Xenopus tropicalis: one gene and its partners. Each later gene encodes a partner of the first gene's protein in a complex. Links are inferred from orthologs where the notes say so. Each region holds a gene or a part of one and is shown on either strand. Other genes may lie near its edges. The genes, in order: nckap1, wasf2 and abi1.

Region 1 (3,649 bases):
TTTCATCTTATGTTAGCATTTAGTGCCATATTCCCTTTTCTTAAAGTTTGTCGTCGTTGGTTTTAAATTGTAGCTGGAAAATTATCTATTGTCGAATTTGCCTAGGTCCTCTTCAGGCTGCACTGCTGTAAATACCTACATGGTGTTGGAGTAGACTACACTTCATCCAGCATACTTTCAACTTGCTTAAAGGTTGCTGAGCATTGAGTCCTCAACCTTTTCTAACTAGAAGTTTAAAAAAATTGTATGAAATTGCTGTTTTGTAGGATTTTAAAGGAGAACCAACATCATTGGTACATTATAGGACCCATGCACCACAACAAGATATACATCCGCATGCCAGAACAAGGTCCTGCTCCCTTGTAGCTGATGAGCTTTGTAAATTCTGCTCTCTGCCATCTAGGTGCTTATTGCAGAACATGAGCTCTGGAAGCCATACTGGTCCTGGCTTTCATTGCCCATGCTACTCTTCTGCAGTGAGCACTTTGGAGCCAGAGACTGGAAATTAAATGGCTAGACATGGTGGCGATTAAACTCTCTGGAATAATGATATAGGTTTAGTGTTAGCCCTTTAACAAGGTCTTGTAGTTGGCCTTAGGACAAGTCACAGACTTATAACTGGTGTTTTCCTCTTTCTGTCAGCCTGGATAAATTGCACACTGCACTTTCAGAGCTCTGTTTCTCTATCAACTATGCACCAAATATGGTTGTATGGGAACACACATTTACCCCAAGAGAGTATTTGACGTCGCACTTGGAAATCCGCTTTACCAAGTAAGTGTCTGAGCTTCTAGATGTACAGAATTTTTTTTCTTGCTTATAGTAGCCAACAGATAACATTTATCTTTATGAATAATCTTAGGACCAGAAGAGAGAGATTTTATAATATTATAATAAAGCAATGCACTCCAAAAAAATTTTTTTTTTTCAGTAGCCCAGGTGCTACCTCAGTATGTAATAGAAAACATGACAGGAGCAGTCAAGGGACTGTCAAAAAAAAATAAATAAACTGTTCATATAGTGTTGGGCAATACAAATTTTGGTTTTAGAGACTGGAGTATTAATTCCAGGGGCATCTTTTTGTCTCATGGCAGGAGCAACCCTAACTGTACTCTGGTATGTAGCCCTTGCCACAGACACAAAGGCTCATAGATATTGGCATGGCCCATACGGGTCCCATTATGGTAGCGTGGCTTTGTGTTTGCAACCCAAATGCACTAACCTTGAATATGCTCATTTGAAGAACAGGGTGATGTGCTGGTTATAGGTTTAAGCACATCAAGCCAGTAAATGGGGAATTTACTTGACAGTCTGTATTGGCGACAATGAATTATAAAATAAATACAGTGCAGGAGTTTCCTACTATGTAGTAGAAGTCCATTTTTGCTCACAGCTTTCTATATAGTAACATTTTGTTCTGTTGTCAGCCTTTGCATTCTTACTCAGTATGTGCTGTTCTGTCTTTCTTTGCCACAGGTCTATTGTTGGCATGACCATGTACAATCAAGTCACTCAAGAGATTGCTAAACCTTCTGAGTTGTTAACAAGTGTAAGAGCCTATATGACTGTACTCCAATCAATAGAAAACTACGTGCAGATTGATATCACAAGGGTATTCAACAATGTTCTACTTCAGCAAACACAACATTTAGACAGCCATGGAGAGCCAACAATCACCAGTTTATACACTAATTGGTAAGCTTTCAGCATAAGAGTTTCTTATCCAGATATTTCCTTAGAGTTGCTTGCCTTCCTTGCTGGTTTCAGACATGGAATTCCTGCTATATGGATAAAGAAAACTGGCACTAAGAAACTGCTAGTTTAAAGGATCATACCAAAGGACATCAGCAATGAGATGTGCCAGTGCTTTTTGTTTATCCATGTAGCTCATTCCTTAATGAAGCAAGTAAATAAGATCTGGTCACGACAGAGTTTTAGTGTGACCCTAGTGATATCTATAATATCTTTTAAATGAAACATTGTTTGCACCAGGACAACAGCAGCAGACTAAACAGTTGTATTATTATTTGATGAACTTGATTGAGGAAATATTTGGGGAAATGAGTCAGAAGAAAGTAAATGTAGGACTGGTCAGTCTGGGGATGACTTTGATGTATTTGGCTAGCTTGTATATATTGCAGTATATGGACAAACAATCCCTGTTGCACTCACAGGAATTTTTCACACACCTGGTGTCCCTGACGAAAAGTTCCAATCACCTCTTGTCTTTGGTGTTTAATGCATGTAATACTAAAGTTTGAAGTGGTAAGCTTGTGTTGCATTGAGTAACATTCACAGATGAATAAGTAGCCGTTTGACATATGTGAAAAAACTGTTACATGTTGTGTATGTCAGTCAGCTAGGCGAAACAGCTTTCCATTTGTATCTGAAAGTGTTTAGATTATTAACTTGCGATTTATTCCTTCAAGGTATTTGGAAACACTACTGAGGCAAGTAAGCAATGGACATATAGCATATTTCCCAGCAATGAAAGCTTTTGTAAACCTGCCAACTGAGAATGAGCTGACGTTTAATGCAGAAGAGTATTCCGACATCTCTGGTGAGCCCAACAGAATTTTTCACTGTGTAGGCATTGATCTTATCATTTGTACTGCAGCCACGCTTTTGGCCATGACTTGGAAACCCTGGCTTTGGTGGACATAGAGGTCAAAATGCCATGTCATTTACAATGCCAAACATTTCACCATATGCCATTAAATTGTCTTGTGGCAAAACATCAAATTAGTGAGCCTTACTTTCCATTGAAGTCTTAAGGTCACATTCTTCCAAGGCATCTGGGTACAGCCTTAATGATAAACCTTATGCATTTATCACTATGAATGAAGGCTAGCCCTGCCTATGTATTTCGGTGTGTATTTAAACAACATTTGAAACATAAATATGCAGAATCAAATATTTATTTCTAAATGATAATCAGGGGTCTTGGATTTTTTTTTTAAAATGCATCCATAACAATACTGATCTATCTTCATTTCACAGAAATGAGGGCATTGTCTGAGCTGCTGGGACCATATGGCATGAAGTTTCTCAGTGAAAGCCTCATGTGGCATATTTCCTCTCAGGTGGCTGAGCTGAAGGTAATATATAATTTTGATTTTATGTTGTATAGTAATTTTAAACGTGGGTACATACGTTTATATACATATGTATACCATATACACAGGCTCCACCCTAGGCCACTATACATAGTATTACTTATGAAGGCCATGTGTTTACCCTGCTGAGCTGGTTTGTGATTGGGAAAGGGTGGATATGAGGAAGTTAGAGATTGAAAGTAAGCTAGAATAGAAAAGAGGGTGGTGAGGAGAATTAGAGAGGGAGAGATACACAGGTATAGGAAGTGAAATATTTAGAAATTAGAGGTGTAACTCCTGTCGCACCTCTAATGTTGCAGATAAGCAATGAACTTTTTTGATTTTCTTTACTTGATGCAAAATATGTATTTTAATATCTTATGTATTTTAATATCTTAACTTACAGTTGGCTTTGTTATTCAGTTTCATATTTTGCCTTATCTTTATACATATTTTTATTTTATTTTCCATCTCCCCTTTTGTAATGCAAACTGCCTGGTTGCTAGGTAATTGAGGCCCTGGTAACCGTATAATGCTAATCATATAACATAATT
Region 2 (4,368 bases), on another chromosome or scaffold:
AACAGTTACTGACCTATTACTGTAAGCCTTCCTGGTTAATGGGTAACATTAAAGAGCAGTCACATTGACACCAAAATACAAATTCAGAATAATTAAATGATCAGTAAAGCCTCACTACACATTGATCTTAAAGGGGTGGTTTACATTTAGTATGTATAGAATGGCTTATTCCTAGCAAGTTTTCAGTAGGTCTTAATTTTTTTTTTTGATTGTTTTTGAATTATTTGCCTTCCTTACTCTTTCCAGTTTTCAAATGGAATCACTGACCCTGGTGAGGCTACAAATTTATTGTTAATGCTATTTAGTATTTCTTATCTATCTATTTAGGCCCTCCTACATTCATATCCATCTCTTTTTCAAACCACTGCCTGGTTGCTAGGTTAGATTGGACCCTATAAAACAGATATTCCAATCTGGAGGGCTGCTGAACAAAAAGTTAAATAATTAAAAACTGCAAATAAAAAATGAAGACCAACTGCAATATGCAAAACATATCACTCTTTACATCATATGAAAAGTTTATTTAAAAGTGAATAACCTCTTTAATATGGATATTACAAGACATGGGCCTGCAAGGTCCTACCACATACAACAGCCATATGGAACAAATTCTAAATCTATCAAATCCTGTAACAAAAGCTTTAGCTTGAAATGTGCCCTTTCTTACAATAAAGTTATGAATATGTGCAAATCATGCACACATAGAGAGTAGTAGTTAACACAACTGCCCTATTGGGTACAGGCAAGGATGAGAAGTAAACTACTGATCAGAAGCCTATGCATCTAGGGAGAACATAGACAATATCTTTAATTGCATCAGGAAAACTATACCCTATGCCATGTAGCAATGACACCAAGCAAATATGATCTGGGCTTATTTGTCAGTTAACTGCCTTGATCAATGCCAAGTGATCGCAATTACTAGCAAGTGAATTCACAAAGTACGTGGTTTATAAATTTCTCTATGAAAGAAAAAAAAAAAAAAAAACACTTCTGTTATAAAGACTACTGATGGTGGTTGTCCCAGTATTAAGTAATCAACCTATCTTAGTAAATAAGTGGTAATAAACTATTTCAATAAATAGATAGGAGATTTGTACCTGGAAACTGCTAGAAATCCTTTATATCCATAACAATGGACATTAATAGACATTAATATTGGCGCATGCTATTTAGAGTTGGCCACCAATATTATCTTTAATAAAAAAAAAAAAAAAGTCTTCCTTCAGCAGTAACGTATTTAAAGGAGACATATTGGATAAATGGGAAAAACCCTTATCCTGTAGGCAATTATGAATAATATACGGTGCTGGTTTCCCTTTGGGCTAAACATTAATCCTATCTGTAACAATGGCCCCTTTATTGGAGCTCCCTATAGATCCTATCACTTCTCCGTCCAGTGTGCAATGAAGAGTGGGCGTGTCCTAACGGTCCCTGCCAGAAGCACAGTAGGACGGGGAGAGCCAATCACAGCCCTGCACTCCCACAAGCAAAGACAGGCTTCAGTTCCCTATCAGGTCAGCCTAGCTGCTGATTGGTTCCTATCCTACAGTGCAGTGTACTGAGGGCTGCCGGCTCCCCTGCTCATCCAGAGAATTCAGCCAGTAGGAAGTGGCACAGATGGGCGGGGCTAGTGGGGTTTTTGTGGAATTTTTCAATAAATCAGTCTGAAACACAACTTTTTTAAGCACAATCCTTCTATATCTAGAGGAGTATAATTCACTGGTACATTCATAATTTTTATAGGATATGTCTCCTTTAAGGTGCATAATTTGTTCTAAACCAGTTCTTGGGTCATAAGGTTAACTTCTGGATAATTTGGGTCTCCTTATAAGAAACAAGTTACAGGGGTTTTCTACCCAAAAAACATTTATTGCATAATAAAATAACATGTAATTCTAAGCAACATTTCACTATACATTAAAGATATTCCATAGGTTTAGGTTTTTTTGTATTTGCTATTAAAAGCAGGTTTGTTAATCCCTATCAGTTCTCTGGTTCTGACTCTTGAAACTAAGTAGAAGAAGCCAGTTCTCCTTCAGCTCATCTCTGTTGACCGACTTGATGCTGCTACTTTGTTTCTATTCAGAATCAAAAGTGCGGAGAATATAAACAACCAGACCGATACTGCTTTCAAAAGCAATTGCATTTACAAATAACTCAAAAAACCACTGAAACATTTAAATGAATGTATATACAAAAGCATATGGAAAAGTTGGCCTAGTTTTTCAGGGACAGGATGCAAGGCCCAGTGGAACACTGACTGATAAGTAGTTTTAATCTATGTTTATGAAAACTATATTTCCAAAGTTTGGGTTGGAGGCTAAAATAACTTTGCTGTGGGCCTCTGTAACTTCTAATGTCACTGCCAGCTTTGTGATGGAAAATAAAAGGCCTTAATAAGAATATCCTGGGGCCCAAATAGGTGTAGGTCCAGCAGAATCACATACATACAAAGCAGCCAGCAGCTGCACTATATACTTTTATGTAGGCCACTACTTCTATGTTGTTTAGGCACTTTCCCAATACTTACAAGAACCTGCATTAGTAGAAATGCCATGTACACTTTACTACAGAAACGCGAAAGAGGTTATTTCTCCTGTCCACTGTTACCATTACAGTGTTAACTATCGTATAAACTTACATTTTCGGTAATTACATGCAATTCACAAATATCAAGCATTTCAAGTTTCCTTTTTCAGCCACACCATATATAGCACAATATCTAGAAGAGTATAAGTAAAGTTTGCAGTGCTCATCCTGCTATACATTCTACCAGTGTAAGAATCTTTTTACCTGTACCCGGGGGATCTCCGCTTCTGACACCGGGAACTAGTATCACAGAAGCAAACTCGGGCACCGCCCCACCTAGTCCCGCCCACGCAAAGCAAAGATTGGCTTCGGCTGCAGTTTCTTCCTCACAGATTGGTTCCTTTCACTAACCTCCTATCTTTAATTGGATGAAAGTGCTTCCGCTCGGCTTTTGGTAGGCTGCATTTTTCTTCCTTTATTTCACTGATTGGCTGAGTGCTCGGTGCCGTAATAAACTAATTTTTTTTTTTTAACTAAACTTTTACGCAGAAAAGTTAGGTACTTATGGAATGTGTTATGAACTTGTAAAGTGTAAGCTGTAGTGGCACGGTCACCAACTTGTTTCCAGTTGCTTAAAGTATTTCCTTGTTGGCTGTACCTTTTAGGTTCAAGGTCTTTTTTTCGGAGAAACTGGTGCTTCTAAACGTTCTACTGTTGTGTAAAGATGCGTTATTTTATAAGTTAATATCGCTTATAATGTGAGCACCTAACAAAACGAGATGTCACCAGATTTTACACCTTTTTGAGTTGCAGTAGATACACATTATTATTACCACCCAACTGTCCTGATTTTGAAAGTTCCTATTTTCCCTTTGATTTCCTGCACTGAAGCTTAAAAAGATACAATGCTTCTCAAACTTAATTTAAAAAGTAACTTTTGGCAGAGAGCCCAGAAATTAACAAGCTACACTTGCACTTAGATACAATTGTAACCAATAAGCTAAACATGTCTCTTGGGGGAACTGAGACTTATTAACGTAAAGGGCAATTTCACCTCTTTTTTTAGCAAAATGGGAGTGATATTTAGGGGGTGTGGTTGCAAAAATGGGCGCTACACACGCCATTTTCTTTTTTCCCTCTTTATATTTTTCTAATGTTGGGAGGTATTAACATTAATAGGCATTAGCCACAGCCCCAGCATTTTGGAATAAACTGTTTTTGAAACAAAAATTTGTATTTTACACATAAAAAAGTAGTTTATCGTTAAAAATAGATGACATACATGGGCATTGTTTTGCTGGTTTTAGCTGGCTAAATCAGGTGAGCATTATTGAGAGGAAACTTCCACGATGTCACTGAAATCGCGCCGCCGCGTATGCCATCCCACTGGCGATTTACGTTTTCGCCGGTGGGATGGCATTTCGGGGAGATTAGTCGCCCGCGAACAGGGAGATTTGTCGCAGGCGACTAATCTCCCCGTGTGCCAAAGCCCTTAGGTGTAAAATCACATTGTTATCTGACTGGAGGTAATACCCATGAGAATAACAAATGTAGACCTGCACTGATGAACCAAGAGATGAGATATTACCTCCTAGTTCAGGTGATAATGCATGGGTTAGTTCATATTGACCTTTAGTGAATATACCCATAGATGATGGTGGAAGAATGAGGCAGTGTGGATGTGCACAGGGGAAGAAGATGTGTAAGGGGGCATTGTTGTGGGAAGAAATTAATGCAATATACAGTTCCAAAAAGTCCAATAACAATATTGTAGTTACTAGTCAGTTTTGTAACTAGCATATAGCTGACTCTGTGAATGCTGGGGACCTGCACAGT
Region 3 (4,421 bases), on another chromosome or scaffold:
TCCAAACTGAAGAGTTGCTGAATAAAAAGCTAAATATTTCAAAAACAAAAATAATAAAAACATGAAAACCAATTGCAAATTGTTTCAGAATAGGACTCTCTACATCACGAAAAGTTAATTTAAAAGGTGAACAACCCCTTTAATGCTCCAGGTTATGGAAAGATCCCTTATCTAGCTTACCTCTTTACAAACATTAAGCTATACTGAATGGCATACAACTGTATCCCTGAGCCAAAAATACATTTTACAAGAAAGCTGCAAAGGCTTTCGCATCAAGCAGAGGCTATGCCACAGCTGTCATTCCACAATGCTGTCTGACGCAAAGCCTCACATTCAGCTCTATGGCACAGCAGCCCATTGGCTCAAAAAGAGAACTGATGGATTTATTCACATGTCAAATAATTGCAACATGCACCACAGTAGCTTTGTTGCTTCTGAACAGTTCTTGTGCCTTTTGTAATATTGCATCCTTGCAGAATGTCAGCACTTTATAAATGTGTGATATTAATACAGCCCATACCTGTAATAATATAATCCTAGCTTATAGCAATATAAATGGCACTTTGTATTCAGGAAGAAACAACCCCCATAACATACATGCTCAATCCCAAAGTTATGGGGGTGATTTCTTACTTTGTTGAAAGTAAAAGATGTGTTTCATTAAACTTCCCCTTTAAATAAACATTTAGCATGGACCTAATCTAAGTAACATGATTATAATTTCAGACTAATTTGATTTATTATTCTCCTCAGCAGCAGATCAAGAAGGCTGGAGTCTGGGACACCAAAACCCATTAACATGTGGATTATGACACAAATCTATTGCTATTACATTTTTATTGCTTATCTGTCTGATAATGCCCCCTATATCCACTTTCCATTCGGAATTCCAAGCTGTCACCTGGTTGCCATGGTAATTAAGCCCAAGCAACTAGCAAGCGGCCTCAATTCCCAGCCTGAGAACTGTGAAATAAAAAAAAATGACAAATCGTCTTGGCACAAAACTATCCATGCCCGCAGAAGCGGCCACATTTTGGCTAATCCTATTCTTACAGCTGCACAACTACCAATAGAATCCAAGTGGAAAACCCTGGGATTCACCATCCCTACCTGATTTTTTTTTTTCTTTTGTAACTGAAATTTTATTGAAGAGAAAAATAAAAACAAACATATCAGACAGATCACTGCAGCGAATAAACCCTACCTGAAGAAACAGTTAGTACCAATAGGATCACTGAATATGGGATAGCAACTCTCCAGAATACAATAGCTCAGTATATGGCTGTCTGGGCACTGTGAGAGCTACAAGGTCTGGCCTCCTGACTGCTTTACCTACACCCAGCCCAACATGATCCCTTAAAAAACTCTGAAAAGTTCTTCTTTTGAACCGATCTGTCACACTCACACCCCTCTGTCCCTCTTACTGTGCATCCAACTGATTATTATTACATTTATACAGTTTTTCATATTGTTGTTGTTTTCTTTTCTATCACTGTCTGGACAACATAAATACACTTTGCACTGCTATACTCGAAGTATACTTCGAAGTACTTGAAGTATGCGATTTCACAAAGCCAACTACAGTGTGTCTTTTGCAATGTAAAAATAACTAAAAATAAAAAGTTACAATAAAAAAATAAAATAAAAACTCTCCATGCCATAGTAAAGGTTAATTTCAAGGCAACAGAAAACAGGCACCTGGACAGCAGGGTTCCAGCATACAGAGCAGCACTTTATTTCCCCTGATATAAGGCAGGGTGAGTATCTGACCATTCTGTACCTGAAATCACCTTCATAAATGCTGACCAACAGAATGAAAGTTCCTGTAATACAATACTACTACAGAGCCCTTCCTGCCACATAGAAGCGACAGACTGACACTAACACCCTTGTGTTCTTACTTGTGTGTATCTATATCATTAATAGTAACATGAAGTGCCGGCATATACTGCTGCGCTGTACAATAGAAGGGTGCACATCAGCCATTTAAACACTGCCCAATACAGGGCACAGGGCCCTGCCTAACCCCATCCCTGCACTGGCACCATTGAATATTATAAGAATAATGATAAATGGAAAGCCAGAAGGCTAGAGGTGTAAGGGCTTTGTTATAAAGGCAGCCCCTGGGTAGAGGAACCCTAGAGTTGAGCTGCTAGACAAAGGCTCCCTGAAGTCCTTCCCAGGGAGAGGCAATGCTTCCCGGCTGTGTCTAGACAGGCAGGAGACACAAAGCCCCATATTAATGGCAGCAGGGCAGCCCCAGAGACATGTGCCTAGGGCTTCGCTCCATAACCCTCCTGCCTTACAGCACCCAGGGGAGATCTCTGGGAGGTGACTCACAATCAAACAAAAAAAAAAAGGGCAACACCCTATGGGCTGAACCGGGATACACCCACAGCCGCTAGCACTGACACAGGCTCCATACCGAAAGTACTCCCTCCAAGGGGGCTCCGATCTGTAGCCCCGCAACTGTAAGCGAACTACAACTCCCATGAGCCCCTGGCAGCCGCTTGTTGTCTATATGCAGCCCTAGCAAGGCCGCCAGTTGGATATGTTTGAGTTTCAGGATGCCCCACTTCCTGCCCCCCCTCCCCTTTCACTGACATAAACACGCCCGAATACAGGGTGCTGACCAGCCCGCCGCTTACCTGGATATAGTTGGACTCGCAGTAGTCGGCCACCCGGGTCAGGTTGTGGAAGCTCTCGATCAGAGCTTTCTTCCCGGCGGGGATCTCCTCCTCTAGTAACATCTGTAGCTCAGCCATCTTCCAGCCCTGCGCATCGCTTCCTCCTTTTACACTGAGGGAAGAACAGCTAAGTCCACACCCGCCAGGCTGCCTGCCTGCTCAAGCCTGGTATTCTGGGATTCCCAGCCTCGCTTTCACCCCAGGCTCCTCCCCTCAAAAGCGCTTCGCCCCTTCAGCTCGCCGCTGTCACCAGGAAACCTGCGCAGAGCACTCTGGGAGTTGCTGTGGGGTGGGCGCCGTGACCAGGAAATCCACTCAAAGCACTTTGGGATATGTAGAAACTCCTCACAGTGGGGCTGCTGTGTAGTAGCAATACAGGGTTCTGTGCTTTATAGTATGACTAAGTAAGCTTGTGGCTATGAGGGCCATACAGTTTGTTATAGGAAGTACTATGCCGTTACATGCACCCACGCAAATGTTATGTGGGTTTTAATGCCAAGCGCATGTTATGAGGATGAGCCAACCCTAGCATATTACAGGCTGGGAGTTGCCACCTTTTCTGACAATAAATACCAGCTCTGCTCTAATCGTATTGATTTTCATGTTTATAACATTGGCATTTGCAGCTGCCAGGTGGTAACCCTGTTCTGACCTGATTTCACGTTACCATTTGGGGTAATGGCACAGGGCTAGTGTGGCTGTACTGGGGGCAAGGTTAGCGGTAAGGTTAGGGTTGCCTCTGGGCCAGTAGCACACCAGCTGGGGCTGGGCCATTATTATTACAGGCAATACACTTGCTGCTAATATTATAAACCTCTCTGGCCCATCTGAATCATCTTGAAAGCACAGTCACAATAAGGTGTCTCTCCCTGATTGGCCTGTAGCCTGACCAGTCATGTCATCACCCCCAACCACAGGACGGGGCCTGGGAAAGGCTACCACAAAGCAGCTCTATCCGGGCTCGGTGCTGCCCTAGGCACCGGCCCCCAGACCACCTTCACAGTCTGCGTACTCAACTATCACAGAAGAGAAAAGAACCCCCCCTCCACCTTGGCTTTAACTCTGGATTAAGCTGCAAATATATATCTATATATACATACCTCCCAACATTTGAAAAATGAAAAGAGGGACAAAAAGAGTTGGTGCGCGCAGCACGGCAAATTTGTTTGGCCACGCCCACTTTGTGGCCACGCCCCAATTTCCACACCCTATTTTTAAAATAGTTAAAATTGTGCCCCCAATGGCCCAATAGACAGTAGCCCCCATACACATTGCCCCCCATACACAGTAGCCCCCAATTTCCCCCATAGAGAGTACCTCCAATAGAAAATTCCCCCCATACACAATGCCCCCCATAGAGAGTACCTCCAATAGAAAATGCCCCCCATACACAGTAGCCCCCAATTGCCCCCATAGAGAGTACCTCCAATAGTAAATGCCCCCCATACACAGTGCCCCACATAGACGCTGCTTCTTGTGGCTCCTGCTCCTTATGCGGCTCCTTCTATGGCAGCGACAGGCCCTTTTATAAGGTTGCGCCCGTGCGTACGTGTGACGTCACACATACGCACGGGCGCAAACTTATAAAAGGGCCTGTCACCGCCATACGAGGAGCAGAATAAGAAGCAGGAGCCACAGGACTAGACGGAGCCCGAGCGCTTGGCTGCAGTCAGCGCATCCCGCTGGCCTGGATAGTTTAATGAATGTTCTGCATTTTCGTAATGCGGGACATTC

Evidence for each region.
Region 2: nckap1 (region 1) and wasf2 share a complex: the UniProt entries of both Homo sapiens proteins name them as parts of the WAVE2 complex. The link is inferred for Xenopus tropicalis from reciprocal best matches to the Homo sapiens genes NCKAP1 and WASF2.
Region 3: nckap1 (region 1) and abi1 share a complex: the UniProt entries of both Homo sapiens proteins name them as parts of the WAVE2 complex. The link is inferred for Xenopus tropicalis from reciprocal best matches to the Homo sapiens genes NCKAP1 and ABI1.

Annotation. Positions count from the first base shown.
Region 1 is NC_030685.2:62,024,824-62,028,472, forward strand, and holds part of nckap1 (nck-associated protein 1), read left to right. Parts: intron 1-642; coding exon 643-774; intron 775-1,476; coding exon 1,477-1,695; intron 1,696-2,429; coding exon 2,430-2,560; intron 2,561-3,000; coding exon 3,001-3,098; intron 3,099-3,649. UniProt on the Homo sapiens protein: Part of the WAVE complex that regulates lamellipodia formation. The WAVE complex regulates actin filament reorganization via its interaction with the Arp2/3 complex. Actin remodeling activity is regulated by RAC1.
Region 2 is NC_030678.2:78,053,894-78,058,261, forward strand, and holds the start of wasf2 (wiskott-Aldrich syndrome protein family member 2), read right to left. Parts: upstream 2,825-4,368; 5' UTR 2,797-2,824; intron 2,794-2,796; exon of another isoform or gene 2,777-2,793; intron 1-2,776. UniProt on the Homo sapiens protein: Downstream effector molecule involved in the transmission of signals from tyrosine kinase receptors and small GTPases to the actin cytoskeleton. Promotes formation of actin filaments. Part of the WAVE complex that regulates lamellipodia formation.
Region 3 is NC_030682.2:24,956,247-24,960,667, reverse strand, and holds the start of abi1 (abl interactor 1), read right to left. Parts: upstream 2,857-4,421; 5' UTR 2,766-2,856; coding exon 2,649-2,765; intron 1-2,648. UniProt on the Homo sapiens protein: May act in negative regulation of cell growth and transformation by interacting with nonreceptor tyrosine kinases ABL1 and/or ABL2. May play a role in regulation of EGF-induced Erk pathway activation. Involved in cytoskeletal reorganization and EGFR signaling.